4 linked regions of the Oreochromis niloticus genome follow. The protein of the gene in region 1 interacts with the protein of each later gene in a biochemical or structural test. Links are inferred from orthologs where the notes say so. Each region holds a gene or a part of one and is shown in the gene's direction. Other genes may lie near its edges.

What was found.
Region 2: the proteins of erbin (region 1) and potassium voltage-gated channel subfamily A member 4 interact in a test that uses a peptide from one of them, tested with the Homo sapiens proteins (3 studies listed by BioGRID and IntAct, with this or other methods). The link is inferred for Oreochromis niloticus from reciprocal best matches to the Homo sapiens genes ERBIN and KCNA4.
Region 3: the proteins of erbin (region 1) and arvcfb interact in a test that uses a peptide from one of them, tested with the Homo sapiens proteins (3 studies listed by BioGRID and IntAct, with this or other methods). The link is inferred for Oreochromis niloticus from reciprocal best matches to the Homo sapiens genes ERBIN and ARVCF.
Region 4: the proteins of erbin (region 1) and scn4ab interact in a test that uses a peptide from one of them, tested with the Homo sapiens proteins (2 studies listed by BioGRID and IntAct). The link is inferred for Oreochromis niloticus from reciprocal best matches to the Homo sapiens genes ERBIN and SCN4A.

What each region holds. Positions count from the first base shown.
Region 1 is NC_031972.2:13,430,101-13,437,431, reverse strand, and holds the start of erbin (erbin), read left to right. Parts: upstream 1-4,316; 5' UTR 4,317-4,980; intron 4,981-7,331. Other genes in the region: nln (neurolysin, mitochondrial), read left to right, coding at 1-59, 922-1,288, 1,426-1,627, 1,716-1,902, 1,984-2,112, 2,324-2,460, 2,549-2,698. UniProt on the Homo sapiens protein: Acts as an adapter for the receptor ERBB2, in epithelia. By binding the unphosphorylated 'Tyr-1248' of receptor ERBB2, it may contribute to stabilize this unphosphorylated state.
Region 2 is NC_031965.2:10,259,433-10,267,209, forward strand, and holds the start of potassium voltage-gated channel subfamily A member 4, read left to right. Parts: upstream 1-4,759; 5' UTR 4,760-4,796; coding exon 4,797-6,269; 3' UTR 6,270-7,480; intron 7,481-7,777. UniProt on the Homo sapiens protein: Voltage-gated potassium channel that mediates transmembrane potassium transport in excitable membranes. Forms tetrameric potassium-selective channels through which potassium ions pass in accordance with their electrochemical gradient.
Region 3 is NC_031977.2:8,250,754-8,258,403, reverse strand, and holds the start of arvcfb (ARVCF delta catenin family member b), read left to right. Parts: upstream 1-4,633; 5' UTR 4,634-5,027; intron 5,028-7,650. Other genes in the region: tango2 (transport and Golgi organization protein 2 homolog), read right to left, coding at 1,995-2,050. UniProt on the Homo sapiens protein: Contributes to the regulation of alternative splicing of pre-mRNAs.
Region 4 is NC_031969.2:35,485,940-35,493,796, reverse strand, and holds the start of scn4ab (sodium channel protein type 4 subunit alpha B), read left to right. Parts: upstream 1-4,854; 5' UTR 4,855-4,999; intron 5,000-7,857. UniProt on the Homo sapiens protein: Pore-forming subunit of Nav1.4, a voltage-gated sodium (Nav) channel that directly mediates the depolarizing phase of action potentials in excitable membranes.

The sequences.
Region 1 (7,331 bases):
TGAGTATGTGCTGGAGATTAACATGGCTAAAAATGCAAGCAACGTGTCTGACTTTCTGGGTATGGTCTCTTTGACATCTGACCTCGCTGCCACACACATACACATGCAAACATTCCCTGTCATTTAAGATGAGCTCTCCCGCCTCCTGATAACTGCCTTAAAGTAGGAAAAGAAACTCAATAGGACAGATGAATGGGTGTGCAACTCCACACGCAGTCACATAACATGCAGGGTGAAATGTAATCAGTTACTAATGACAAATTACACAACATCAGCTTTTTATAATTAGTAGTGGCTGTAATCAGGTTGAACAACTAAAAGCATGTCTTTAATCTCAAAAAGTGAAATAAACCAGAGCTCACAAAAGGAGCACAAGAAGCACAGAAATTCAAGTCCAACAAAGGAAAAAGACAAGACTGTATACATGCACAGAGAGATGCTCAGTAAGAATAAATCATAGAATCAGAACAAAAGCAAAAGGTTAAAGTACAAGAGGCACAAAGAAAAGTTTTTCCCACAGTAAAAACAGGAAGTGTAAACTAGAAAGACAAGAGAACTAACAGAGAGACAAAGACAAGGAAGCAGTGGGATACTACAGAAAGAAGAAGAAAGGAAACATAAGAAATGACATAAATAGAATCAAAACAGGAACCAAAACTCAAAAAATATCACACAGGAACCCAGAACCGCACTAATAGTTTTCAATGCAAACAACAAATTTTGAATATTCAGCATTTGCAGATTTAGAACAGATTTCCTCTACAAAAACGTTCAACTTTCATATTCTTTTTTTGAGTGTGCAAAGGGAGTTAGTTTGATTTGGGCTTTAAAAAGAAGATAAGAAAGTAGACAGCAAAAGGTTCAAAAAAATTGCATGCTTCACATTCCGACTAAGGAGTTTTTCTTTTTCTGCCTTTACAGACAAGTTCCATGAAACGCTGAAGCCCGTGGGAATCAAAGAGAGGAAATACATTCTTGCGCTGAAGAAGAGGGAGTGCCTGATGAAGGGCTACCAGTTTGATGAGAAGATTAATGCCTGGGACTTACCCTACTACATGAATCAAGTGGAGCAGCGCAAGTTTGCTGTGGACAAGGACAAACTAATCGAGTATTTCCCTCTTGATGTGGTGACAGAAGGGCTGTTTGGTATCTACCAGGAGCTGCTGGGTCTCATATTCACAGAGGTGGAACAGGCTGACGTGTGGCATGAAAATGTCAAGCTGTACTCAGCCCGGGACACTGAAACAGGGGAGGAGATTGGTCAGTTCTACCTGGATCTGCATCCAAGGTAGATTATGTGTCATTTTTTTCAGAGACAAGATAAGATCCTGTGTTTGATGTCTTTATGAAGTGTGAGCTCACTAACATTCACTAGAGCTCTTGATCTGTGTGATAGACTTCAGCCTGACTGTGACATTTCACCAGGGAGGGAAAATATGGCCACGCAGGTTGCTTTGGGCTCCAGCCTGGCTGCAGAGGCCCCGATGGAAAGCGCAGGCTGCCGGTTGCGGCCATGGTAGCCAATTTCACCAAGCCTAGAAAAGGTTGTCCTTCTCTCCTCCAACACCATGAAGTGGAGACCTATTTTCATGAGTTTGGTCATGTCATGCACGAAATCTGCTCTAAGGTCAGTCGCTATGTTCAGTCAGGAAGTTATTGATATTTATATACTGTGTGCTTATGAATAAAAATTAGTTTTTCTGTGTATGCGTCAGACTGCTTTTTCAGAATTCAGCGGAACAATGGTGGAGACAGACTTTGTGGAGGTGCCGTCTCAAATGCTTGAGAACTGGGTTTGGGAAAAGGAGCCTCTGAGAAGAATGTCCTGTCACTACAAAGATGGTACCTCCATCCCAGACGAGCTGCTCGACAAACTGATTGCCTCCAGAGTTGCTAACACTGGTCAGACACCTAAACTTTGCACAAAAAAGTCTGTTACATTTATGTGTAAGTGAAGAGTCTCTGTTGATGTGTTCACTTCAGGGCTTATGAACCTACGTCAGGTAGTCCTTAGTAAGGTGGACCAGTCGCTTCACACCAGCCCACGTGCAGACACTGCTGAGGTGTTTGCAAAGCACTGCCAGGACATCCTGGGTATTCCTGCTACACCAGGTCAGCTTTAGCTTCAGCTATTTAGAATATATTTGAGAAATTATTGCATTAGAATTTCTATCAGTGATGCGGATTTACATTTTATAATAAACAGTCCACTCTGGGCATTAGTAGTTTGTATTCAGTGTTTTGTATGAAGCGCACAGACACTATCGTTTTTCTTTTTTGGAATTTGTATTAGCGATTTGTAACAAAGATCTGCTCTCTGCAGGAACCAACATGACAGCCAGTTTTAGCCACTTAGCTGGAGGATATGATGGTCAGTACTATAGCTATCTATGGAGCGAAGTCTACTCCATGGACATTTTCTTCAGTCGTTTTAAAAAGGAAGGCATTATGAATCCAAAGGTTGGTTTTCTGGTTGAACATTTCACTCTAATGATGTCTTATTTTTCTTGAAACTGTCTTTATATGTGCATTTATGCCCTGAACACAGGTTGGAAAAGAGTACAGAAGAGTGATACTGGAAGCTGGAGGCTCTGTGGATGGGATGGACATGGTGAAAACCTTCCTCGGACGTGCGCCGTATCAGGATGCCTTTTTCCAATGCAAAGGACTGGTTAACTCACAAGAAGCATCAATGTAATCTGATGTGATCTTTAACTGTTTTTGTCATTATTATATTATATCTGGATGCAGGTAAATGTCAGTTGAGAAATAAGGTATTATTACTATCTTCAGGATTTCATACTAGAGTTCTGTCTGCCTTTGTTTAAATGTCCAGTACATCACGACAGGGCCTCGTCATGACATGTTCAATGTGTTTTACAGCCTTTTTAATTCGTCATGGCAGAGGTGTTACTAAAACAGTAAACCAGGGATGTCAAACTCATTTTAATTCGAGGGCCACATACAACTTCATTTGATCTTAAGTGGGCCAGACCAGTGAAGCTCAACTACACATTAAATCCATCAGATATCTTCATATATGAACAAGAAGTGCAGTTTCTACAGTTTGTCTCATTTTTATTTCTACAGTTTGTCTCATTTTTATTTCTACATGATGAAAAAATTGTGCCATACTAAATACAAGCACAATTTTGGGGGGTTTAAATTGTAAGAAATTTATAAAATTACAGAAAAGGTTCTGGTTGCTCATTGCCAGGACTGTCCTGTAATTATAAAGCAGAAAGCTTTTGTTAGTTCAGAGAAAATGATCTGTTTCTCTTTATTTTGTCTTACTATGAACCAATTGAAAAAAACATTTCTATAGTAGTTACTGAAAAAATGGGAACTACTTTTCTGTCATTTATTTGTTTATCTTTTACATAATTACTTTGGTGTTGTGTGGATGACCATGGTGCTGTAGAACTCATGTCCATAATTTAAGCCCTCCACATTTTCCAAAGCCATCCAGCAGGCCAAATTGGAGTCCTTGCCGCCGTTTCTGGCCCCTGGGCCCTATGTTTGACACTCGTACAATAAAGAATGGATATTTCTTTATATTAAAGAATATGAATAATATGGTTTCCACAATAGTTCTTTTTCGAAACATACATTCTCGTCATTAATTTCATTACTTATGCCATCACTTCTGCTGTGACATGTCAGAATTTCCTTCCATGCAGTGATCAGATATGTCAAGGGTACAAAAATAGTAACAGCAGGCTTAAGTTACAGGTATCCAAGTATAGGCGCTAACATACCCTTACTAGATTTACAATATAGTCAAAAAACTGTTTTCAACTGCTTCTTTCTGCTGCCACATTATATTACATTTATCAGCTACCTACTCTTGGTGGCCTGACAACTTCATTAAGTCGTTTAGAGGGTTGACACTAGACGTTAGACTGTTCAAGCCTTTTACGTTGAGCACACCCGTCAAACATTATGTGGAAAATTCTACCCTTGAAAGGCACTTGGCTATTTTAATGGATATATCTTTGAGCTATCTTTAAATCTCCAGAAAAAAGGCCATATTATTCTATTTAATTTAAATTTCCAGTGAAATGCAAAAATCTTCGCTGGAGGGCGCCACGACATAACAAGAGTAATGAAGGCTGCTGCAAACCGTACAAACACCTATTTTTTGTACGTTATATGTAAATGGGTTTAATAAAATCCCTTGTCGGTCTGGTTTGTATACGCATTTGCAGTCTGTGTGAATATCCTGTGTAGCCTATTTGAAAGGGAAAACAGTGTCAATAAGTCAATGCACAGAGGAAGATAAGCGGAATCACTAGCAGTGTCTGGGTGAGATAGTGAAAGCGTCGTCCCCGGGGCTCGGTGAGGCTGGAAAGGCGACTACTGGTGGACAGCTTTCTCCATGTACCCGCGGAGGTCGCAGAGAAGAAACTCGCCGCTTCGTGCTGTGCCCCACAGCCTCAATGTAGCTTCGTTCCAGTCAGTAGAGCTGCGTCTATTGTAAATGAGCAAAGACCTGGAAATTATGAGCGAAAACATCTGGGTGCGGCACACTTTAGAGGAAAAGGTTTCGCTGTGCCGGAGGTGGTTCGCAGTTTTGCCTTTTGTATTTCCTTGCTGAATGTAGTGGACATTTTGGATTTTTTTTAATGTTGTGTCATTAATTTGCATCAGTTAAGGACCATTTTTGCGCTTGTCTTCGTCGTCGGTTAGTCTGGCTGTGCCACAAGGCAATATTTTTATGTCTCAAAACAACTGAGAGGGACAACGTTAAACTTGAGGGCGGCTCGCTGAGGAGAATGTACGCACTGGGCCAGCTTCGAGTTGCTCTCTAAGTAAGGCAATATTAGCTAGCTGCTAACACTAGCCAGACCCAATTGAACTGTCGTGAAGCAAACCAGTGAAACCAGCTAATGCCCACTTCTCAAGGTGTTTGTTGGGTAGTATCAGCCTTCACATAAGCTGGATATCATTAAATGAGACGCTGACCCGACAGTAACTCAGGTAAGTCTCTTTGTTTGCGCAAGTTACTGCTTCTGTCTGCGGGGCCCCACACAGCATGCTAACGCTAGCTGTAGCGTTGTATCGCTGAGGTCCCATTCTCAGGTTGTCCCACTTGAAGTCTCGCATTAATGCGGTTGATTTTAAATGTGGAATTATACGATAATGTATTATCTGGGTGCTTGTAGTTTAGTAATGGCTGTGAGAGCATTGTTGGTTTAAAACAACAGGTTTTGGACTGTATTAACAGACTTGAGCATCTGTGTTTTCGGAAGGTTTCGCATCAGCAGCTGTGTATGCTGTTGCCCCTTTGCGATGTAGCTCACTTGGCACTAATTTATTCGCTTTAGAAAGCGGTGTAGTACATTTAAAGCTGTCAGTCTATAAGTGTTGATACTATTCCTAAAACCAGCCATTAATAACTGCGCCGCAATAGCAACACTCGCATCTTTTGTTGCGCCTACACCGTCTAGGACGGATTAGCGCGCCGTACTTATCAACATATTGGCGTTTTCATTTTCTCGCCGCTTCATTAATCAGATTAGTGTCCTCACTTAACTCCACTGTAATTTAATCCCGTTAAGATCCGGGATAAATTCAGGACTATTCTGAGGAATTTCAGCAGGTCTGTCCTTGCCTGTCGACTTGTTGTTAGTGTTCGTCATTCACCGCTCTGGGAAATGGTGTCAGGAGATGCAATCAGGTTGAGTCTCAGGGCACCTTGAAGGCAACGCTCAGGTAGACAAGTAATAAGCCCGGGATCGAGTGTCGTTAGTAAGATACCTAGATTAAATCCGCTAATGTGTCAACTTCTTACTGGAACTTAATTGACTATAAAGTACAGTTAAGAGGTGAATCGGAGATATTTCTGCATCTGTGTAGATTATCTTAGATTTCATAACATAACTTTACAAACGTACTGAACCAGGTGGAGTGTTGCCAGAGATAATATTTTGTAGTAGATTGAGATACTAACTATGGATGTCATGATAACAGATTGTCATTTAATGAAAAGTAATATTTAAACTCAAAATTCAAGTGCGTGGAGGTATCAAAGGCTACTGCAACCATAACTGTGCGAATACATACACAACTGCAGAACAATTACATGTTCATTTTCAATACGATACGTGCATTTTGGGCACAGTGTTTTGTAATTGAATTTTTCAATCTCACATGAATGTCTTCCAGGGTGATTTAAAACTCAAACGTTGAATTTGGTATTTGGAGCTGTCAGTCAAGCAAACAGAAACCTTATCAGATCAGTCTTCAAAGGCTCTCCCAGCTGTAATAAAATGTAAACAAAGACTAGGCTCGATCTTCCCCTGCTTGTCAATGTTATGGGCCCGTTATCTACAAGCTGATATTCAGCTATTTGGAGAAGATTATTCAGGTATTGGTAATGAAACTGACTAAAAGTGTATATATAGTGTAAGCAGAAAATTGCCCGAATTTTGGATGTTTTCCCAAAGGTGTTTGTTTACACTAATTTTGTATTCTTGTAGACACATTTCCACTCATCGGGAAAAGCTGTGTATTTGGTATATGGATATTTTGTATATCACTAACAGAAGTGTGTGTCGTATTCTTACAGTACACTGGTTTCATTGAGGTATTGAAGGCCTGTCATGGCATTTTGGTTATCAAGTTCCTCATGTGATCATTTACAACAGACCTTATCTAGAACTGAAGATAAGGTTCACTGTAACAAAGGCTCTTTCCTCTACTGTTCTTTTCTCGCACAGGTGGCAAAGAAGTGTTGTTCCACTTGCCTAAAAGTTTGTTGTGTCAGTCGGAGACAAGACACTGCCAAAAGCAGTAAAACTGTGTTTCTTATCTTTATTATACACCAGACATGTTGGCATAAGTGTTAATCCACAAATCAATGTCGGTTTAGCTGTGAAATTCTTCCATATCTCTATGTATGTTGAATTGGATATCCTTTAGTAAGTACACTGGTTCAAAACTATCTTTTTTTTCCTTTCGAAACAGCTCTAAACTGTTTGACTTCATGTTCTTAACAGAGTCTGGTTTACTTATGGGTATATCATGTTAAAAGTTTTTCTTAAACAATGAGTGATCCTGCTAAACTCAGAGTCAGCGGTATATCTACTGATGGAAAAGTGGCTGTACAGGCTTATCTATTTCTGTTTACATCTGGTGTCGGCTGTTAAACAAGTACGTAACATGGTGCTTTTCATTGTCACTGGATCTTAAGGTGTGTCTTTTCTGATGACGCTTTATACCACGTAGGAAACCTTTTTTTTTTTTTTTTCCTTCTCCCCCCTCCTTAATCTTCTGCTTCTGTGACCATACAAGTGCTCGTTTCCTCTTCAGCATGTCTAGCCTTGATC
Region 2 (7,777 bases), on another chromosome or scaffold:
TATCCCAGCTGTCATAGGGCGAGAGGCGGGGTACACCCTGGACTGGTCGCCAGTCTGTCGCAGGGCTAACACACAGGGACAGACAACCATTCGCACTCGCACATTTACACCTAGTGGCAATTTGGATTATCCAATTAACCTATCCCCACAAGCTGCATGTCTTTGGATGGTGGGAGGAAGCCGGAGTACCCGGAGAGAACCCACGCAAACACGGGGAGAACATGCAAACTCCACACAGAAAGACCCCGGTCTGATGGTGGAATTGAACTCAGGACCTTCTTGCTGTGCGGCAACAGTGCTAACCACCGTGCTGCCCGCACACTGAATATTTTTTTCAAAATGACAGGAAGCGGCACGGAGATAGGTGGAGCATTAACATCAAAAAAATTCTTCTGCATATCCATGTTGATGGCATGAGTCAGATAACATAGGATGCAAATGTACTGGTCCCTAGTTATAGTGAATTCAATAAGTCGAGACAGATTCATCAAAAGTAGGCAGTCCATCAAAGCGACAAATGATAAATTAATAAATAAATTATTTTGAAAACAACAATTTGTTGTAATGTGTTTCTTTCAACCACAGTGGTTAAAAATCTCAGTATCAAAACAATTTCTTGTTTGGGCCTCAGGAGGAAGTAAAACATCAAGATCATTTCTTACTTTGAACGACTGCCTAATCTTAAAGAATCTGTCTTGACTTATTTAACTGGCTATAAATGGGACCCAGTATATCTGAGTCCTGAAGGCATCATGCCATGAATGAACACCTATTTACTGTTTGATGTAATCAGAGGGCCTCCAGGGTGTGCGCACTCCTGTTTTCATGTTTCATGTTAAAATCAGTTTCAAACAAAAAAAGAAGAGGTACGGTTTCATGGTCTTTAGCCTTACATGTTATTAAATAATGGGCAGCACGGTGACACGCACTGTTGCTGCACAGCAAGAAGGTCCTGAGTTCAATCCCACCATCAGGCCGGGGTCTTTCTGTGCGGAGTTTGCATGGTCTCCCCGTGTTTGTGTGGGTTCTCCCCGGGTACCCCGGCTTCTTCCCGCAGACCAAAGACATGCAGTTAGTGGGGATAGGTTAATTGGTCAATCTAAATTGTCCATAGGTGTGAATGTGGGACAGGTTGCCAGTCTGTCTCTGTGTGTTAGCATTGAGACAGACTGGCGACCAGTCCAGTGTACCCCGCCTCTCGCCCTATGACAGCTGGGATAGGCTCCAGCACCCCCCACGACCCTGAAAAGGATAAGCAATGGATGGATGTTATTAAACATAAAAATCAACAGAGTAAATAACCTGTTTAACCCATCTATGTGTGTGAAGGTTTAACCAAATACAGCAAAGCCCTAACCTGAAATTGTACTAACCCATAATTTTAACTGATTATGTGCTCTACATTTATGTGTGTGTGCGTCACAAACCCCCCCAAAAAACTTCACAGCCATGTGTTACACATTGCTTCTTAATCATAATGGCATGGTGGGTGCCCTCACTTTATCCCCTGCTCAGGGTCCAAGGGCTGGCATGTCCTCCACTGAGCGTTCACCTTCCTGCTCTGTCTGGTCCTCCTCCACCTCATCACCGGACAGCACGAAGTCTGACTCCCCTTCTACAATTCTGAGTAAAGTCCTTTCCGCCTCAATCCTTCCTTTGCTCCTTGAAGTGTGGATATGGGTTGAAAACAGGAATGAGTAAGTCCTCCTGTCCACTACACAGAACACTGACTGTGTAATGGACAGTATTCACAGTTCTTTGCATTTTCCACAGTTTGTCATGTTACAGCCTTATTCCCAAATGGGTTCAATTCATTTCTCACCTCAAAATTCTACACATGATACCCCATAATGACCAAATGAAAAAAGTTTGCTTGAAATTCTTGCAAATTTAGTAAAAAATTATATGAGAAATGGTCATTTTGAAAAGAAAGCCCATGTGGAAACTTGAAACCCTGAGATGTCTCCTTGACAGTAAATTTGAGTAAGACTCAAATAGATTGCATGAATTGTGCTCGTGGAGGTCTCAGACTCGTGTCCCCCCAACAGAGGACAAGAATGAATCGCTGGGTCAGAGGAGGTTAATGAACACTTTGCATTCTGTTTCGAGTGCTCTCCTAATCAAATATCAGAGGGAGGGCGGGCACAGCGAACATGAATTATTTGTTTTTGTGGCCTCTGTGAACATTTTTTGTTGTTGCATGAGCTAACCTTTTTTCCTGTGATAATATTAACAAAAAATAATGTTAAACGATTGTTAGGTGAAGTGAAATTGTATGAAAAGTATTTCCAGTGCTTTAAATTCACACTTTTTTTTAGTTACAATATATGGACGTATGTAAATAAGTGATGTATGCATTTTCTGATTTAATATGAGAAAATAAACAACAACAAAAACACCGATTAATTTGTAGGAAAGTGGTTGGTGACTGCAAAATGAATAGTTAAAATGTTAGGTTAATGTATTACTTTTTTTATGGTGGGGACACACAAACACACCGGTTGCTACCCAGCAGTGACCATGAAGGGCAGATGAAGCTCGGGTGAAAGACTGCAGCACGGTGCGCAGTGACCGGCTGCATCCACTGGGGGAGGACCGAGCACCGCCTGCACGAGCTGCGGTACACGAGCGACTTTCTCACCGAGACTCTCCATCATCACACAGACACACACACGCACACAGACACACACAATGGGAGGGATCCAGGAGTATAGGTAGGGATACGGCGGCAGACAGACAGATGTGCGATGCTCAGACTTAAACCATGAAGCCATCCCCCCTCGCCCGTGCGAAGGTAAACTTTTACCCACCCTCGTATCTTGTCTTCGTGTGGAGCTGTCATTGATGCCAACTCGCTACGCGCACACCTGCTACTTCCTCCTCTTCTTCTCATTCTTTTTTTCTCCTCTGGAGGGGGTAACATTATTGCTCTCGTCGTAACCAGAAGCGATGCAGCAGAAACGGAGGCTGAAGTGGCGATAGATCCTGTTGAATTGAGACAAGACGTCGAGACGCAGCCAAAAAAAGTGTCCTCTCCAGAGTGCGTCAGAGCACGGATGTGTGTACTGGATGTGGATATGGTCGCTGCGTGGATACAGCGAGGGATTTTGCGGCGTTACCCTCCAAAATCATAACGGGGATTTGAGCGAGAGTGAACAACTGCATCCTCACCTAGCCTCTCCTTCCCCTGCTTCCTCCATCAGATTGGTTTGTGAAGAGGGGGGGCGGGGGAGGGGGACTGAGGCGATGTCGTTTTGGCCCCCTTTCAGATGTAAGTATGGATGTTAGAATAAAGGGAGGATACTTTAATGCGTAAATTGTATTGTAACCATAAATGTCTTCCATATCCCTTTGTGTTCACTCCATAGTAATAATGATGATGATAATAAGCATGATGTATTTTGATTGTGTATTCGATAAAACAACACACATCGATATGAAGGTTTTGTTTTTATTTGCCTAAACCAACTGCTGTTTTCTCCTCTCTTCTTGTTCTCGCAGCTCCTGAGAGCGTCAGAGGAATAAAGTCATTCAGATTCACCGGAGCTGTGTAAAATAACAACGGAGATATCTCTCCCCCTCTCTCTCTCTCTTTTAAACTCATCCTAAAATGGCAACCATGAGTGACCAGGGAGGATCAAAAGACGCATTCGGGCGCAAACCCGGCTCGCGGAGAAATTAACCACCTGATGGGCACCGGAGAAACAGAGGAGAGACTGTTTTGGTGTCGCTTGTTGACTTGGTGATTTACAATGCTGAGCAAATAAGGGGCGCTGCAAGTTTGACCGAGCGTCTGCGTAACAGGCTATGCCACCGGCCTTTACATCTGATCTTTTTCCTTCTTTCTTCTTCTTCTTTTTTTTGGATATGGTAATGATGTCATGAAATACCGGAGGAAGGGGGGGCTGTACCTAAACTGGAAGAGATGGCAATCAGTATCATGTAAGTAGGATACATGGGATTCGCTCAGCATGGACCCGTTTGAGGTGTGTTTGCTATTCTGACTTTCTCGCATTCACGACTGATTGGTCGAGAGGCTTCATGCCTCATTTTGTCTCCCTGCGCGCGCTGAGCTGCAACTTTTGTCCTCTGGTCTGCGTCCACATCACAGCGCGCGAGCGCTTACTGTAAGCGTCCGCGGACCGAAGCGCTCACTGACTTAAAATGGAGTTTGCCATGGTGGGCGCGGACGGTGGGTGCAACAGCCACCTGCCTTACGGATATGCCCAGGCTCGCGCGCGGGAGAGGGAGCGCGAGAGGGAGCGCCAGGTTGCCCACACCAGAGCGGCGGCCGCAGCGGCTGCTGCCGAAGGTGGAACGTGCACGGAGGGAGGTGGTGGAGGAGGAGGAGGTAGCTGCGGTGGCGTCGGGGGGTCCACCTCCAACACCTCCTCGAGCGCTCATCTCCTTAACAACCGCCAGCATCAGTCTCGCGCCGCCTCCTCCGCGAACGCCAACATCAGCAGCGGCGGTACCGCCTCGCGCCCCTCCTCCTCCTCCTTCACCTCCACCACCACCACCACCACCTCCACCTCCTCCTCGCAGCAGAACCAGCAGGAGCCCGAGCAGCAGCAGAGATTTGTGCGAGAGCGGAAAAAGCAGCGCGGCGTCGGACGCTGGAGACGGAACCGGGGCACTCTCGGCGGGGACCTGCGCCACTCCGAGCTGGCTCTGCTCGGATCCGAGGAGGACATCATGATAGAGGAGGAAGAGGCCGAAGGAGCCGAGGAAGAGGAGGAGGGGGGGAGGGGGGCGGGGGGGACCGGGGGAGCAAAAGGTCGAGTTTTTTGTGCAACATGGATGATGAGGAGGAGACCGTGTCGATCACCGACAGGCGGCCCCAGTCCGGATATGAAAACGTTTACAGCGAGTGCGGCTGCTGCGAGAGAGTTGTCATCAACGTGTCGGGTCTGAAGTTTGAAACTCAGCTCAAGACGCTCACTCAGTTCCCGGACACGCTCCTGGGAGATCCGGACAAGAGGATCAGGTACTTCGACCCGCTGAGGAACGAATACTTCTTCGACCGGAACCGACCGAGTTTTGACGCCATTCTTTACTACTACCAGTCAGGCGGGCGCTTAAAAAGACCAGTCAACGTCCCATTTGACATATTTTCCGAGGAGGTCAAGTTTTATGAACTCGGGGAGGAGGCGATACTAAAGTTTCGGGAGGATGAGGGCTTCGTCAAAGAGGAGGAGAAACCTCTGCCGGAGGATGAGTTCAAGCGCCAGATTTGGCTGCTCTTTGAGTATCCGGAGAGCTCGAGCCCTGCCAGGGGGATCGCGGTCGTGTCCGTCCTTGTTATTGTCATTTCTATTGTGATTTTCTGCCTGGAGACGCTGCCGGAGTTCAGGGATGACAAAGAGTATCTACAGCCACGAAACAACTCCTCTCAGCCCGATCACGGATTTACACCTTTTAACGACCCGTTTTTCGTCGTGGAAACGGTCTGCATCATCTGGTTCTCGTTTGAGATTATAGTTCGCTTCTTTGCCAGTCCGAGCAAAACTTACTTCTTTAAAAACATTATGAACTCCATAGACATTGTTTCCATTTTGCCTTATTTCATTACTCTCGGCACGGACCTGGCGCAGCATCAGGGCAACGGACAGCACGCGATGAGTTTCGCCATCCTGAGAATAATCCGCCTCGTCAGGGTGTTTCGCATCTTCAAGCTGTCCAGGCACTCTAAGGGGCTGCAGATCCTGGGTCACACCCTGCGCGCCAGCATGAGGGAGCTGGCCCTCCTCATTTTCTTCCTGGTCATAGGTGTCATCCTGTTCTCCAGCGCGGTGTACTTCGCTGAGGCGGATGAACCCACCTCGCAGTTTACGAGCATCCCGGACGCGTTCTGGTGGGCCGTAGTGACCATGACCACAGTGGGTTACGGAGACATGAAGCCCATCACTGTGGGTGGGAAGATAGTGGGCTCCCTCTGCGCGATCGCGGGCGTGTTAACTATTGCGCTCCCGGTGCCGGTCATAGTGTCCAACTTCAACTACTTTTATCACAGGGAGACCGATAACGAGGACCAGCCGCCGGTGGTGGAGAGCATGCCCCCGGGCTGCCCGTACTTCCCTGACTTTCTAAGAAAATTCAAAGGCTCGCCCTCTGGCTCCTCGCTCGGCGACAAAGCGGAGTATATGGAAATGGAGGAGGGGGTGACGGAGTCGCTTTGCGGGCTGGACAAGAGCCCCAGTAAAGGAAACGGCACAGACATAAGCAGAAAAAACAGTACTAACTCAAAATCCATTCAGACTGACGTGTGATTACAATTAGAGTTTATTATTATTAATTATTTTTCCTGAAGAAGAAGAACACGCCCTATAAAGATAATTCTAAACATCATTTCTGCCCAACAGCAGGTGACCCCCTCCCGCTCACACTTCCCCAACACAAGTTTGAAACACGCCTCAGACACACACACACACACACTCACACTCACACACACACACACACGTTCATGCCACTGATTGGCAGGCTGTTATGCTTCATCTCTCTCTTTCCCCTGTTTTTAACCATCGCGCACTTCTCTAACAGCAGCCTTTCCCCCAAACCATCTTCACCACACACCAGTCTATTTGTTCATCTAAGCTGTGCGGGCTTCCAAATCTGACATCAAATTGAAATTCTAGTGAAGACAGGCTATGCATTCGCACTTTATGAGTTTCATCTGTCAATAACAGAGAGGTATAGGGATCGTTTTTGCTGTTATGCAATAAAGTTCAAAATCTGTTTGCACTAATGTAGATTTTTTTTTTTTTGCGCTGGGTTTTGGCAGATTTGTATTCAGAGACAGAAGCTGTAGGCCATGAAAGTGGCGCGTATTTAGTAATCCTCTGACCACTTCGCTAAAGAATGTTTGAACAACTTCCTCACAGAGAGCAGACTAAGGATATTAATAATCCCCTTTATATGCTGCCAGTAAAAGTAAAGAAAAAAGAAAAAATTGGAAACGAAAATACGGATAAGTCTTTTGTAACTGTTCCAGTATTTAACATTAAAGAAAAGCTAACTGATAAGACAGCATTTAGTAAACCAGGGCTACAGTTATTTCTATGACACCTACACAACTATGTTTTTCCACAACAGGCCAAAAGAAAAAAAAAAAAGCCTTGTATTGCTGACCCACTGCGAGAGCTAAGCACAGGAATTATCAGTTTATAAAATGGCTGGAGAAATGACTCGCCCCAGGTTTTGTATGGACATGCTTGTTGGAACCTCGGTGACAGCAGTTTTCCCCAGTTTCATTTAAAGCACCTCAAAATGACAATATCCCTTTACAAGGAGGCAGATGGAAAGTTAAAGCAAAAATGACTCATCGTGGAAACTCATTGGAGGGGAGCTTGCGAGCAATTTTCTCTCCTGTCTGCTGGACTTCGTGCACAATTCCTTTCCCCCCCACCCCGCCTCACCCCCCCAAGAGGACTGCGATTATCTGCGAGCTCGGAGGATCGTCATGATGTGGATGTCTTCCAAGGTATGTGGCCCACAGCTTGTGTGTGAAAATGATTTTTTTTTAAACAACCTTGTAATGATCAAAACAGCTCCAGTCACGTTTTTAATGGAAAATATATGCCACTAAACAAGGTCCCATCTCGAGATAAACACTTTTATTCCGAGCACGACACCCTCACTTTTATTTTCAAACACTCCCGTGTTTCTTTGACAACAGAACCACGCGTGAATGCGCGTGCGTAAAGCCCTGTAGACGCTGGAGGAATGTGGCGCACATTTTTCCAGTCTTCATGTGGCCAGTTGATGTTTCTGCTGTACA
Region 3 (7,650 bases), on another chromosome or scaffold:
CGACACTCAACTTTGATTTCTTTCTATTCAACAAACACAGTGACTTATGTATCCAAACACATGTGGCTCCCATGGGATAATTTCCTGAGCCTTTGATAAATTTGCATCTAGGAATGTTAATGTTAACCTCATGGTGGGTCTAGAAAGATGAAGGAATCCCCAAAGTCACTAGACTTTCATTATCATCCTCTGGAGATAACGAAAGTAACCAAAAGCATGGACATCTTCAATTGCTGTCAAGACATTTGAGGTTGGGTCAGAGTGATGACCTAACTGGCATGCTGCCATCGTATAAAGTGACCGTATCCCAAGAGGATCAGTCATTTTATTTGCTGGTCAGTTACAGTGTCAACATGCTTACATCATGAATACATGCTTAGGATTGGTTCCAGCTCAGGAGGTGGGGCAGGTCAACCACCAACCTTCTGATCACTATCAGAAGGTTGGTGGCTTTCTAAGCACTAAGAAATAGAAGAAAGTGCTTATATGAATGTGGGGTGAATGAGGTATGTTGTATTCTTCTTTTAGTGCTCAAATAAAGTACAAAAGTGCTATATAAGAACCAGTCTATTTATCATATACTATAATTTACTTGCAAAGAGCCATGAGCAACATGAGATAAAGAACTATTACAAAAGCTCTATGAAGGGCTGCCATTATGCTGTTTGTTTAGTACATCAGCATCATCTTTTGGCTGAAGGGATTGCAAGTGGCGCTTTTATATTATGTTTAAATGACTAACCTTAATGAGAAGTGATACAATATATCCAGGTCAAAATCATACTGCACTGCTATTTGGCGGACTGCTGCAGTGCTTTTGTTCTGAGCAGCTGGAGAAAAAAAACACAGTGGAGACTAGAAAATTGCGTTTCTGAGTACAGAGATCTCAGCATGCGGGTAATCAGCGAGTCATTTGTGTGGAATATTAACCCATTTAACTCCCGCAGATCCATTCCTGTCATTTTGTGCTGTGAGCGCTTTAATAATTGCACCTAATGAAACTTTAATTCTGCCTTCAATCCAATTTTATCTTAGCATGCTGCATATTCCTTTCTTTGGCTCAGTCGAATGTGTAAATCAAAACTACTTCTGCAGCCAGTACAGTCTATAAATAGCAGACATGATACTGCATTAGGACACAGTGCGTTTCACCTTTCCCCAGGTTCAGGTCTGAGTCAGTACTCATAACACACCTCTGCTGTGATCTCCTTAGGTGAGGTCAGACTCCCAGAGGGAAGGACAAAGATGGACAATGGCCTGGCAGAGAGCTTGCTCTCAAGCTCTGGGGGATTATAATAAGCTGGGGCTCCACATACCATCAGGCTGTAACTCACACTGACTGCTTGTACTACACTGATCTGTGCTGCTCACTAAAAGAAGTTAGCATTTACTGCTGGGTAGGGCACACGGAGGTTGCACAAAGAGTCAGTGCTTTCATAAAATTGGCAGAGAGGCTGTTTATAACTTTCCAAGTTGCAGGAAGTATCCAGCTTTGTGAGGGAATCACAGCAAAGATGTGAAAAAACATTGCAAGAGTTTGTTAGCTGTATGTTAACTACGAATTTTGAGAAACATGCTCCAAGTAAAATATTTAAAACCGGCACAAACAGTTACATAATAAATCTGCATAAGAACATAAATGTTCCATAGTTTTTATCATCTCACCGGCTAAAACATAGCACATAGAGGTGGCAATAACATTAACATAACCACAATGTTTCTCCACTTGCTGCTACACACTTGATTTACGAGGTTAGAAGAGTAATATTGCACTTAGAGTCTCTGCTGGAGTGTCCTTAGGCAAGATACTAAAATCTCTGCTCAGAGTGTGCAGTTCTGTGGCTGACAATGCCTCGAGAGGGTTTGCTGATACCTGTTTTTTGTGCTTACCTTGTTTTTGCTTTATTACCTACAGTCATATGAGACAGCTCTATTGTTTGTCAAGAACTTGCTTCAAGTCCTTGTATATTTAATGCATGACTTAACTGCCTTACCTGTAGGCATTTTTGGATGCAGGCCGGGGGTCAAACTTGAAGAAAATTATACACATGGATGTGCTGGGGATTGATGGCAGGGCTTTCACGTGGTTCACATCTGCCTCTAAATCTTAGCCATACCTGACAAAGAGAAGAATATAGAAGGAGTTATTCTGAATACCCTTTAAAGAAAACAAACAATCTAATTCCCACATCTTGCGATATCACAGCAAAAACAAAAATGACTAATGAGAAAAAAAAAACTCCTTGTGTACTTTAAATCCTATTTCTCTTGAATTCCTTTGAAGTGTTTCAAAAACTTGACTGAAATTGTGGTAAATTTAATTAACCAGACTAGATTTGGAAAGGCACCTGCCTATAGAAGTCATGACTGATGATGCATGTCAGAGTAAAAACCACGCCAAGTCAGAGTTCCTGCAGTCATCAGAAACAGTGCTGCATTGCAAAGCACGCAAAGCATTTTGCTGCAGGGAAAGTTCCTAAGAACAGGATGGCCTTTATATTGCTTAAATGAAAGCAGTTTGGAATAAACAGGACTCTTAAAACTGTTGAACTCCCAGGCCATCCAATCAACCGAAAGAGCAGGGACTTTAGTAGAAGTGACCCAGTGGTCGTTCTTACTGAAATTCTGTGTGGAGATGAGAGAACCTTCAAAAGGACACTCATCACTGCAGTACTCCAGTGATATCCGGTTTATGGCCCAGATGGCAGGCAGAAGGAGGTTCCTCATATCAGACTATGAGAAAAAAGATTTCTAACCTGAGGAAACCAAGTCCTCTCATCGCCTGAGAGCGACAAGAGTGAGTGACCAGAAAATAGACAATATAGACTACTGGAGTTGGCAAAGCTGGGGGGAAGACAAGACGTTCAACCTGCCAAGGGGATCCCCACCCAGACTCATGATTTAACCCACCGACAGTTTGTAAATTAAATAACAAACATCTATGTATAAACCTGAAAATAGATCCCAGGTGACACTCCTCTAATCAAACAAAGTTAATGTGATATTCACGTTTTTTAATTAACATATTTTCTACGTTTTTGTTCCGTCATTTTGAGGCGAATGAAGTTCTGAAAACTTTCTGAATACATTGTTTCCAGACTTAGAACACGCCACTCAAAGGTTTTTTCTCTGTCTGTGTTCACACAGCACCGAGTTTATATGTGGAAGAAAAACGGTTTCCCCTTATAGAATATGCTAATCCCATTTTATTACTGTCTTTGCAGTATATTGTGTGGTCATGTCCTGCCCCATATTCAGAAGGACTGGGATACAAGTCATCAGCTACAGTATGCTAACTGTAATGAGTGCAAAGGTAGCAAGTGAGTAGAGTCGTAAACTTAGCCATATATCACAATGACATTTAATGACTCGCTAGTCCGACCCCAATAATCAGCTGATATTATGAAGCTAGAGGGTTGTGACAACTTGTCACAGTTGACATCAACTACACATTTTGAATGATACGAGGACACGAGCGACTAGCATTGTCGCAGGACATTAATATTTGCTAGACACCAACGAACTAGCTTAGTAGCATATCCACAGACAAAATATTAGTCGAGTAATGTGGTTAGGTGAACGATGAGTTCCAGGATAACTTCACCTATAAATAACTAGCTAACGTTAGCTTAGTAATACTTAACAGTATAACGAGGACACAAACCCAGCAAACTTTAGCTACCTACCCAAACTTAGTTATGTGCGAAACAATATACTGCAAATGATATCTGGCTTATCGTTTTTCTTCTACACTGTTTACTGCTGTTGTGTCGGCTCTTTGTACTCACCACCCATCAACACTCGGGGTTGACAGCTAAAAGGAAGTACTCACAAAGAGTGACCTCGATTTGTGTCGTCAGTCGTTTCATAAGGCTAAAAATCCGACGTGACCGGTTATTATCTGTGAGGTGACCTTAACCCCGCCCGCCTTTGGATTTTACGTACATAAAACAAGCGCAAATGCTCAGTATTCCAGTGTGATTGGTCGTTTTACAAAGCAAGAACAGCCAAGCTCGCAGTAAACGGAAGCAATAGGGTTTCCGATTTAGTTAGCATTATTTTCAAAATAAAAGCATTAGTGTCAGAACTGTATTTTTAATGTTACAATTATTAAAGAAAAAAACGGCTTGGCAAACAGGGTTTATTTTATTAACATGATTATGCCTCACAATACGATATAACTGAAAACTATATTGTCATTTGTTTTAACGCATAGACTGTAGTACAGGGTAGCATTGTTCCGAATAAGGAACACTTTTAATTTGAAAAATGTTCTGTAGACGTCTTTTTTGTATTCCCGCGGGCTTCACGATGTAGTATTGACATCAATCATATCATATCAATAGATAGGAGAAGCTTACAGAGAAATTCAAGATGAAACTGATAAAATAAAATAAATAAAATAAAATAAAATAAAATAAAATGAAATGAAAAATTGATATAGAGGTATATGAAATTTAATGGAAGGTTTAACAAAATAGTATTTTTTTTTAATTCGCTGACAGAAAAACTTAAATGTAATAACAAGAGTAAATTCATTGAAACTAACAAGTCTTTTTATGAATAATCGAATAAGGTTAATTTTCCTCCAATAGTAGTTTGAATGGGGCGGAGACACTCGCTGTGACCGACAGCATCCAGCACTGTTGTGGATGAGCGGGATAAATGCTGCTCTGCCTTTCATACACTAGAATACAACTTCGCAGTCTCCAATTAATATATTTATTAGCCGCTTCGAGTGCGTCCAATAACTTCAAAGCCCGTTAGGTTAGGTTTACTGTTTGTTATTATTTTTAATTTTTTCTTCCCCTCTGCATGTGGAGCGACTAAAGGGACGCGCCGACAGCAACCTGCCAACTCCAGTTTGAGAGATTTGGCAGGTTGTGAGAGTAGTAGGCTCTCCCTGCAGCAGCTAGGCTAACTTGCAGGCAAAAATAACGGCGTTCGCGGTGAAGCTCGGAGTACTGCTCATCACAACGGGGAGTCACTTCGCCTGCGGGGAGCAACGATGACCGGGAGAAACTGAGGTAACCAGAATACAGCTCTGTTATTATCTCGCAAGTTTTATCCTGTTCTCTCAGCAGGAGGCGAGTGTGACAAAAATATCAATTAACATCAGGAAAGCTCACAATAACCCGCGGGCTGTGTTTCAGTGACATGAGCAGGTGCTCGTCTGAAGTGTAATGAACTGGACTCGGTGTTATTTGGTTAAAGCTTTAGCTCATTCATTGTTTAAATAGGCGTTTTTAGGGTGGCGCGGTGGGAAGAGATATATTTAATGCTGCTTAAAAAAAAATATAACAGCGAAGGCTTGGATGAAACTGAATATATCTGCGCGTGCTCTCGTGTTGTAAACATTCACGGATGCAGTCAAAGGCAGCGCGAGCCGCCACGAGCTGTCAATCATCTCATCCTCACTGCTCTATTGTTTTTCGCTCGTGCTGTTTATAAGTGAGTTTCCATGGAGAGTCTTCCGGTTTCTCTACTCTAATTACCTTATTTGGAGAAGGGGCGGCTGACTGATAGAGTGCTGCTGTTGTTGGGTATAGTGCTGTATACACGCAAACGCCCGAGTGAAGTGGATGCTTTGAAAGAGCGAGGCCTCAAATTAAGTTATTCTCAATAGACACTGATGTATCCTGATCAGGCTTTTCACACTCGATAGCCTTCCGATGGCCTCGAGGTGCGCTGTTAAAGCAATTAACTGTGCAATTAATTTATATCTCAGCCTCGTGGCAAATCGAAATTTCTAAACCGTCACCCAATCTTTTTTTTGTGACACTCAACATTCAGAACGAAAGCACGTTAAATTGGTATTTTGCAACCCCGCCCCACTGACCATCAACAGATCATCTACGAACCCACTATACAGCCTTATAATTTTCTTTCCAGATGAACATGAGGGTACTTTTTAAAACTTAAAAACTGTGATCAGCAGGCTTTGTCTGTGAACCATCATACAAACAGTCTAGGTCTAGGTTTACACTTGCTTTTAAAAAGTGTCTTTGGCAATTGGATGGCAAGTGAGCAGCTCAGACAAATCAGTGTTTACATCTGACTCTGATTTCCTTACTGTCTAAGTCACTTCCAGTAGAAGGTCAAAGGAACAGTAATGTGATTAAAGGAGGCCTAGCAAGGAAAATGACATGTTACAAGGACTAAGACAGTACATGCTGTTGCAGCTGTCCTAAACCAAATCAAGTATCCTACTAATATATTATTGCTTCATAGCCACATAGAACTCAAAAATATGGAAAATTTGTGCCCATTTAACAAAATAAGACTTTATATTTTGTGACTATTTCACAAACTGCCTGATGCTTGGGTTTTTTCATTACAATTTTATAGTAATACTAATTATTTCCATTAAATGTTGGGATAACCCTGACTACAGGTTTATCTAAGTTCTAAGTGAAAGCAACTTGACTTCCTTGAGTTTTCTATATACATTTAAACTTTTATCCAACTGACTGGTGGAGTCCGTTGGATAGGAACACCTTGAGTTGATGTGTGAGTTATCACTTAGATATACCACGACCTGCATGCCGAATCTTTCAAGTGGAACATGGACATACACAGATAAATTATTAAATGCTTTTAATTGGAGGCTTAAACCACCATAATGGGTGTCTGTGTATGTGCACTCTTTTGTGTAAGGAATATGTATGGAGTGACCAGCCAAAGAGTGGTGACACTGTAGTGAGATCTGAGGCCAAAGGTCTGCACTATGCAGCAAGTGGTAACTTCAGGTTTAAACCTGGGTTTTCAGTGCAATAATTATGCTTGATTTTTACTAGGGCACATTGCCATGGCAACTTATTCTTCAGACTTATTCTTCAACTTATTCTTCTGTGCTGAAGAAGGTTATGTCAAAGATAAGAGATTAACAGATACAAACTCCCTGCCTACAGACAAGTCAATACTCAGGATTGCCACCATTCCTGGAAGATTCCACCAAGGAAGACCTTGGTGGATTTATAGTCTTCAATATACTTCAATATTTATTATTCTGTAATCATTAATATATAATACAAATATAGTGAACCTGTTTGCATCTGTGGAGCTTATGTTAAATCTGCTGGTAAACTAAATCTACATCTGAATTCTGTTTTTATTTTTATTTTTTACTTGCTTTCAGACCATTAGGTAGCACCTGGCCTGCAGCTGGAAAAACAAGGCTAAAATTGTCTTATGTGCATCTAAACATTAATTTAATAGAATATGCAAATATAATTTGGCATATGCTCCTGTCTTAATGGTAAAACTCATCTGGTAAATCTGCTACACAGTTGGTATTTTTGGTGGCTTTCCTTTGTGGTTTTGAAAAAAATTGACTTTGTAAGTATCATAGTCCTTCAGCATTACTGACCAACGTATTACAAGTACACAGACATTCATACAGTGCTTTTGGTTGTATACTTTTCTCCTCTCTCTCTCTCTCTCACACACACACACACATACACACAGACTCATTTTCATATCTTAGTGCGGACATCTCATTGACATAATGCTTTCCCTAGCCGCTTACCCTAACAATAACCATCAAAAATGAATGCCTAATCCCAACCCTAAGCCTAAACCTAGCCATAACCTAATAGTAACCCTGACACTATAACCACATTTTGAGCCTCAAAAATGCCTTCAAACTCG
Region 4 (7,857 bases), on another chromosome or scaffold:
AATGTACTCTATTTCATACTTACCTTTAAATAGCACCTTTAAAATGAATTTCAATAGTCTCTTAACCGACATAGAGCCTTTTCATAACTGTAGGGTGATAACAGCTAACCGGAAAAATAAAAATTTGAGAGATATGCTGGTCCGAACAAAACTCGGGGGCCACTGGCAGGGGAGGAAACGGAGCTTAGAACAGTATTTTTTAAATCCGAGGCAATACCTATTTAACCCACACGGTGGTGCTGGAGCGCCAATCTTGGAAAGATTTAGGCCTACCAGCAAAAACATAGTGTATTGCATTGTCTGTAAACAGTGTTCTCTGATATATGTTGGGGAAACCGGCCAGACTCTCGTAGAGAGGTTAAAACAACACCTATACAGCATTGGGGAAAGCAGATTACACACTCCCTTGGTCCAACATTTCCACATACACCCGTTGAACTCCCTGGGCATCCTGGGGATACAATCCTGTGCAACACGGATGGAGGGACAAAGGAGGAGACATGAAGAGTTGTGGATTGGGAGACTGAACAGCAGATTTCCTTATGGTTTAAATTGGAGATAATAGTGTGATATTGATAGGCTGTCTGATGTCTTTTTCTTCCTATGAGAATAAAGTGATTCACACTGCAGAGATGTGATCGATTTTTAAATGATTAGCACTAATTTAATTTTACTGTATGCCTCTGGGGGTCAACTTATATACATAACATTGCAATGGTCTTGTAAATTGGTCTGTTTCTCCCAAAAAAAAAAAAAAAAAAAAAAAAAACCATTTCAACTTACCTTAGTATAAGAACCTGAACCATAATATCTCCTGAGATGACAGGAATTCTGGTTTTAAAGGTCATGACCTCTAAATAGAGGACGATAATTTTGCCACCTGTGGGAAAATAGATATTAAAAACAGCAGTAAGATCATCGTAAATAATTTGATGATTAATAACAAGCATAGTTGAAATATAAATCATATTATATGAATGTACATAGTTTGTGGAATCTATTTAGTCACTGCCTCCCCCCTAGGCATGATTTGCTTAACAATCACACTGTATATAAGAGCACTGTAAACTGATTTTCTGTAGGAAGGGGAGATGGTATAGGATTTAAATATAAAAAAATAGATTTCTTTTTTTCCCCCCCTCTTTTTTCAGATGAAACGGGGGTAAAAGAAGTATATAATGTGTTTATATTTCTAATATATAATGAAATAAAGTCAACTAAAAGACCCACTAAGAGATATGGTAGAGAACAAAAGTCATATAGTACAGAGGATGCAGGAGTAATGGGGTGGAGACCTACGGACCTCTGTTTGCCAGTGCACTTTAACCATAGATATGGAATAACGAAAGCTCAAATTCCTAATCCCTAACTCACCATGGTTGGATGGACTTCAGACTGGACCCTGGTGTGTTATGGCAGACGCCGTGGACAATCCGGGGTCCAGGCGCCTTACCGAGGGATGGCCCGTGCACCGCCCGCCTCCAATTGGAGGAGGGGCCCAAACTCTCATCCTAACCATTTTTTGGGGGGTTAATTCCTCTAAATACATAAATAAATAAATAAATATTTGATTACAATAAACAACAATGTATTATTACATATCACAAATTATGTACAACAAACAACAAATGGGGAATTGGGACATATTGGGGATCAAAACTTTATTAAAACCATTAAAAACATGACATTTGATTTATGACCCCTTTAATCACTTCATAATTTACAGTTAAAACACAACAACAGTCATTAAAATCACACACTTTATTAAAACCCTTAAAAACACAATATTGCTTAAATATACAAACCCCAAAATCATAAAAACATAATTCGGTGACTAAACATACTCATTCAAGTTTAAAATTATAAATATATTTCTCTGCAAAACCTAAAAAATTCATAAAAACCTAATTGGATTAAAACATACAACTACAAATTTCTAAATCTTATATACATCACTTCAAAAACATAAAATTCTTAAAAATTGACATAATTTACAAAATACATTTCATAAAATACAATTTCATTACAAAGGTTAAAAAACACACATTCACTGTAGTCTAAAACCATCACAGACATTTGAAAACACATTGCCAAATCCAAAATTCAAAAACTCACGTACACGAAACCAAGCCTATAAAAGGCTGCACAGCAGAGAGGAGCTCATTTGGGAGCTGACCGTTGAAGAGACAACATCTCTCTCTCTGTGCATTCCCAGCTTAAAATTCATTGTGCCCCAGCCTGAGGAAGACCTATCTTGGGTCGAAACGTCGCGGCAGTGGGCACAGTAATTCATTGATTTTCACTTATTAAAAATTAAAAAACTTTATTAATTTCATTTATTTTTTATTTTTATTTAAAAACACAAATTTCATTTACGTTTTTTCTTTTTTCTCGCCTTTGTTTGTGATTGTAAATTCATATACACATTTTCATATCTAACTGACATAAATAGCACAGCAAAACAATTATTAAATAAAGATAACAAAGGCGACATCAAGAGACACAGAAAACAAAAAATTAAAAATTCAAGACATGGGGTCCCGGATGGACTCGGAGGGCTGGACGGTGGTGCGTCACGGGAGAGGGCGGCTGCCTTCCCGTAGACGTGTCCAGCAGGGGACAAGCGGCAGAGGCAGAGGGATGGACAGAGCACCGTCTGGACCCTTCAGGGACCGGACTCAATTCCACATCCCTAACCCTAACCCCCCTAACCCTTATTTCTTTAAAATTTAAGTTAAAACTTACAAATTTAAGTCAAAAATTTAATTTAAATTTTGGTAGGAAAACCAATTAAAAAGCACACGCCTCCATCCAACTCACCATGGTTGGATGGACTTCAGACTGGACCCTGGTGCGTTATGGCAGACGCCGTGGACAATCCGGGGTCCAGGCACCTTACCGAGGGATGGCCCGTGCACCGCCCGCCTCCAATTGGAGGAGGGGCCCAAACTTTCATCCTAACCCCTAACCCTAACTAATGTAGAAAGACCTCATTAAAGCTATAATTTTAACACAAACATTTATACAAAATGCTAATGGAGCCATCACAGCTTTTATTGTTATTTATCAAGTTCCAAAAAATATTGATCACAGCTGATCTGAAAAGAATTTCATACCTCAGGCCCTTGAACTGCAACCTTTACAATGGTTCAGATCTGGAGAAGAAATAACAGGGGCATGGGATGGGTCACTAAAGAAAAATTAACTTATAAAACAGTTTTGTTTTTAAAAGTATAACAGTTCACATACCACATACAAGCTCAGCAGTACCACATACACCACATCAGGTAAAGGCAGGATCTGAAATTTATACAGTAAAACAAGAAATTCATTACTTAATTTCAAGAAGCAAATTATTGATTGTATTACAACTAAATAAAATACTACTCAGAAGAAAAGCAAGAGATTGACACTGCCATGTTCTAACTTTCTATAGAAGCAATTATCACCAGGTCTGTCGACTTCCATTGTCTTCCCACTCATATGTTGTGAATAATTTTATTTAAAAAAGTAAGTGTGTGATTTAACAAACTGTAATTTATAACTATGCTGATGTGTATAACTCCGCTAGGAAACATGCTGTATTTACAGACCATTTTTACATAATACAAATTACTGATAGAGCATAACAATGGTGTCACAGTGGCTTTCGCCCTCGACTTTTTGGATTTTAAATGTCACTTTATGCTATCCTTGCTATCCTATTCGATATTTATGACTCTCGGATTACAGTAAAGGAATCCCAAGAAAGTAAATGAAAAAATAACCCCATGAACCCCTGTAGCTAATCCCTTAAAAAAACCAAAAACAATAAAAATGTTTCTTACACAGTCCACAAAATAAGCATGTCCAGGACCCAGTAAAACTAATGTATGGCCTGCATTTGTATAGCGCTTTACTCAGTCCCTAAGGACCCCAAAGCGCTTTACACTACATTCAGTCATTCACCCATTCACGCACTGTAGAACAAGCGCACGCAAACGATATAACATGTCTTATAAGACAAACGCAAAATATAACCATGCTCGACATGTAGATACTACAAAACATAGTCAAAGAAAAAAGTGGTCTTACCTCTCAAAGAAACAGCAGCTTGGCGCCAAAACAACGTTTTTAAGTTAAATTTGAAGTCTTGCGAATGAGCAGGCCCAAGCCGTGAAACATTGTTGTTCTTCGCGGTTTCATTACAACTGTTTTTGCATTACTGCCACCTAGTGGATATACAAAGTATATTGATCCTAATTGACTTAACTTAAATGTTATGCCATCAAGTAACACATTAGTATTATGTACAGTGAATAATAGACACAATTACGTAGACTTGATTAGAAAAACATATGTTAACTTAACAAAAAAATATATTTTAAGTAAAATGAAAATAAACAATTAATATACACTGAACAATCCACCTCATTCATTTTTTTGAGTGTATGGACAGTTTCATTTATTTCTATGCATGTATTTAAAATGAGTTTGTGATCACGTGACCCAGACTCTGTGCTGCTGCAGGACTTTCAATTCCTCTCATGGCTGCATAAAACCTTTTTATGACTGTTGTGATAAAAACTTAGCACTACGTTGAATCTAACTTATCCTTGGTGAGATTCTGCTTTCAAGAGACATTTTAGATTTAAGCTCCTCGGTTGTCATGTCTCAAATGGGAATACATGCCATATATCATGCAGCTTTAAAAACAAATCTATTTTTGACCAATTAATCTGTTGATCTTACTAAATGTCTCTTTTATTATTTTAAATGAGGGGTTGATAATTTTATGTTGTCAGAAAGGAATTTCTAAAGTTCTGATGGGAACTGATGAACATGTGGCTTTGTGTGTGTGAGTGTGTGCTGACACACTACCTGACCTCTCAAGTTTCAGTAAGAGACGTAGAGTAAGGCAAGGCCAGAAGACGTGAGACAGAGAGAGAGATACGGACAGGCAGCATGGTGCTGTGACCGATGTTTACTGGATTTATTGTGGAAGAAACAGCAGAAGCAGGTGAGGCTGAACTTTATGCTTTCAGACGTGAAGTGAAACATAAGATTTTATAGATTTTATATATTTTATATTTTATAGGTTCTGTTGACCTTTCGTTTGTTTATGGAGCAGTTTTTTGTAATAATTAAAGAGACATTTTCATCTGATAGTCTGAATAACTTTTCCTAAAAATGTCTAAAGTTACAATTTTCACCAAAGATTCAAAGTGCTTTGGATTCTGATTTAAATGTAAGAACAACATTTCATGCTTTAGTTTTCACTTTGAAACAACCGATCCTCCTTATTGTCCTGCTTCTCAGTACACAGTGTGTGTGTGTGTGTGTGTGTGTGTGTGTGTGTGTCTTACACCTGTTGCGTTGCTGTTAACCTGATACCCTCTGTCATCATATCTGCACATCATCAGACACTTTTTAGCTTAAATGAAACAAAATATCAAAGTAAATCAAAAGTAGACTCACTTTAATCAAACTGCTCTTCTTTTTTGCAAAGATGGTGGTTAAAAAAACAAACCAAAAACACAGAGAATCAGTCATTTAATCTTTCCAGGCAGGTTTGGACTTTTGAATTCCCTCTATAGTGACCAGCCTCTCTACTTGAAACTTGTGTTAAAGCCTCACAGGAATGTTCAGCTGAGTGGGCTGTGCTTGCAGGTTTGGCGTGTTTGCTACCTGAGTGTCTGTAAGATCGAGTTATGAGGATGAACTCTGATTGTTTCACTTCATGCTTTTGCTGCTAGAAATATAAAAAGGTAAAATAAATTTGTCTTGTTGCCATGGTTTTATGACGTGTCAAGAAAGATGCTTGAGGGAATGATAGCGTAAGATGACATTAGTTCACAGTTTAAACAAGCAGGAGCGTCTGAAGTGTCTGACGCAGAGACCGTGGAGTCTGATTTTTTTCTGGACCTTCTTATTTACTGCCCAATGTGTAAGTCTGAGAAACCAGAGCTGCTTCTTTAACATCTTTCTGGCAGATGGTGTCGTTGATCTCGTGTATCAGTGAGTTTCACACTGCAGCAGCACCTTGTGATTATGGAGGTTAGCATTACTATGCTACATTATCCACGCTAAATGCGACTCAGACTTTAATAGTTGTAAAGAGGGTTGGGTTTTATAAGACGGAGCACTGACTGGGTTTAGAGTTTAAGGTAAGCCAGCAGACATTATTTATAGGCCAGCTGACTGTAGTGAAGAAGCTGATCAGGGATCAGATATTAACAACTGCTGGGACCAACTACTGCTGCTTTCTAATATAGCTCTGTGTGGTTGCAGCCAAGCTGAGCACTAACAGAGGAGGGTCACACCAAAAGGTTAAGAGTCTGCCACAGGAAATGGCGTTGAGCTGGTCACATTAGCACTATTAGTGTCAGATCAGGATGCTATGTTTGCTATAAGATGAGGTGGCAGCTTCTGACCAGGAAACATTTCATTTAAATTGAAGATCACATATCCGGTTGCTAAAACGTGCTTTGCTTCAGAACCGACAGGTGTGACAGCTTAATCACGTGTGCTAGCAGCTTCTAACCTCACCTCACAGGCCTGTACTCTATACATAAATTATGCTGCTGCCCGTGTTGGGTAGGTTAAGTCAGCAGGCACTTATGCTGAAGACAAGAGATCCTACATGTAAAACCACCATTTATTGACCAATCAGATCTCTCCATTACTTAAGCTCTCTCAGAGCTCACATTGCCAGAGGTTTTGAGGTCTTTGTTTTTATTGGTTGAGTATGAATATGAGAGACTATCAGTTACTGAGCTGCTCGGTTGTGTATGCTACTCTGCAATTTCATAAACCTGCTCACCATGCTGGTATGTTGTCATTTAGTTGGATTTGTCTGGGAGTACAGATTGTTCTTAACTCTACAGCCATCCATGTTCGTGATTGGTGAAAATTAAAATCCTTTTAGTGAAAAGCTAGAGAACCTGGATTGGCTGCCTGAGATGATAAATCATCATCATGTGACGCCCAAACAGATTCTTCCTTTTGTCTCCCACTGAGTGACATGTTCACATTAGGTCCCAAAGATTTCATCACATCTGCTGCATGATTGTAGACACAACAAGCCCAAATCCCTGCTGACAGATTTGGAATTTTTGAGTTTCGTCTGCTACCACGACATTCTTTTGAACAATAAATGCCCCAGGCTTTGTAAATAAGAATGCAACAGATTTATCCAAGTGTAATCCAGATTTAGGTCCCCAGGAAAACCCACGACAGCCTAAAGAAGAGCCTGTCATGCTCCAGAGTATTCTCATTCCCAACACATAACCCTGTCAGATGTGTTTTCCAAAGGGCTTCATGATCAATATGTAAAAGACATTTACATGTATAGTTTAATTCCATCTGGATCTCATGCCTGCGAACGCGTAGCATACCGGCGATTTGTCGCATGTCGGTATGTTACGTGTTGGGATGAGAACGCGTTGCATGGTCATGGGTAAAAGGAACCCAGTGTTTGTGTGTCTTGCTTTGAATGTTCTTGGATTTAGTTAGTCTCCCTGTGTTGCTTGTGTCTCGCCCAGTGAGGTATGTTCTCATGCCTGTTCTTTCCCAGTCCCTATGGCAAGTCCGTGTCTCAGCGTGTGTCTCGTGTTTCCTGTTTTACAGTGGCTTGCAAAAGTATTCGGCCCCATTGAACTTTTCCACATTTTGTCACATTACAGCCACAAATATGAATCAATTTGATTGGAATTCCACGTGAAAGACCAATATAAAGTGGTGTACATGTGAGAAGTGGAACGAAAATCATACATGATTCCAAACATTTTTTACAAATAAATAACTGCAAAGTGGGGTGTGCGTAATTATTCAGCCCCCTGAGTCAATGCTTTGTAGAACCACCTTTTGCTGCAATTA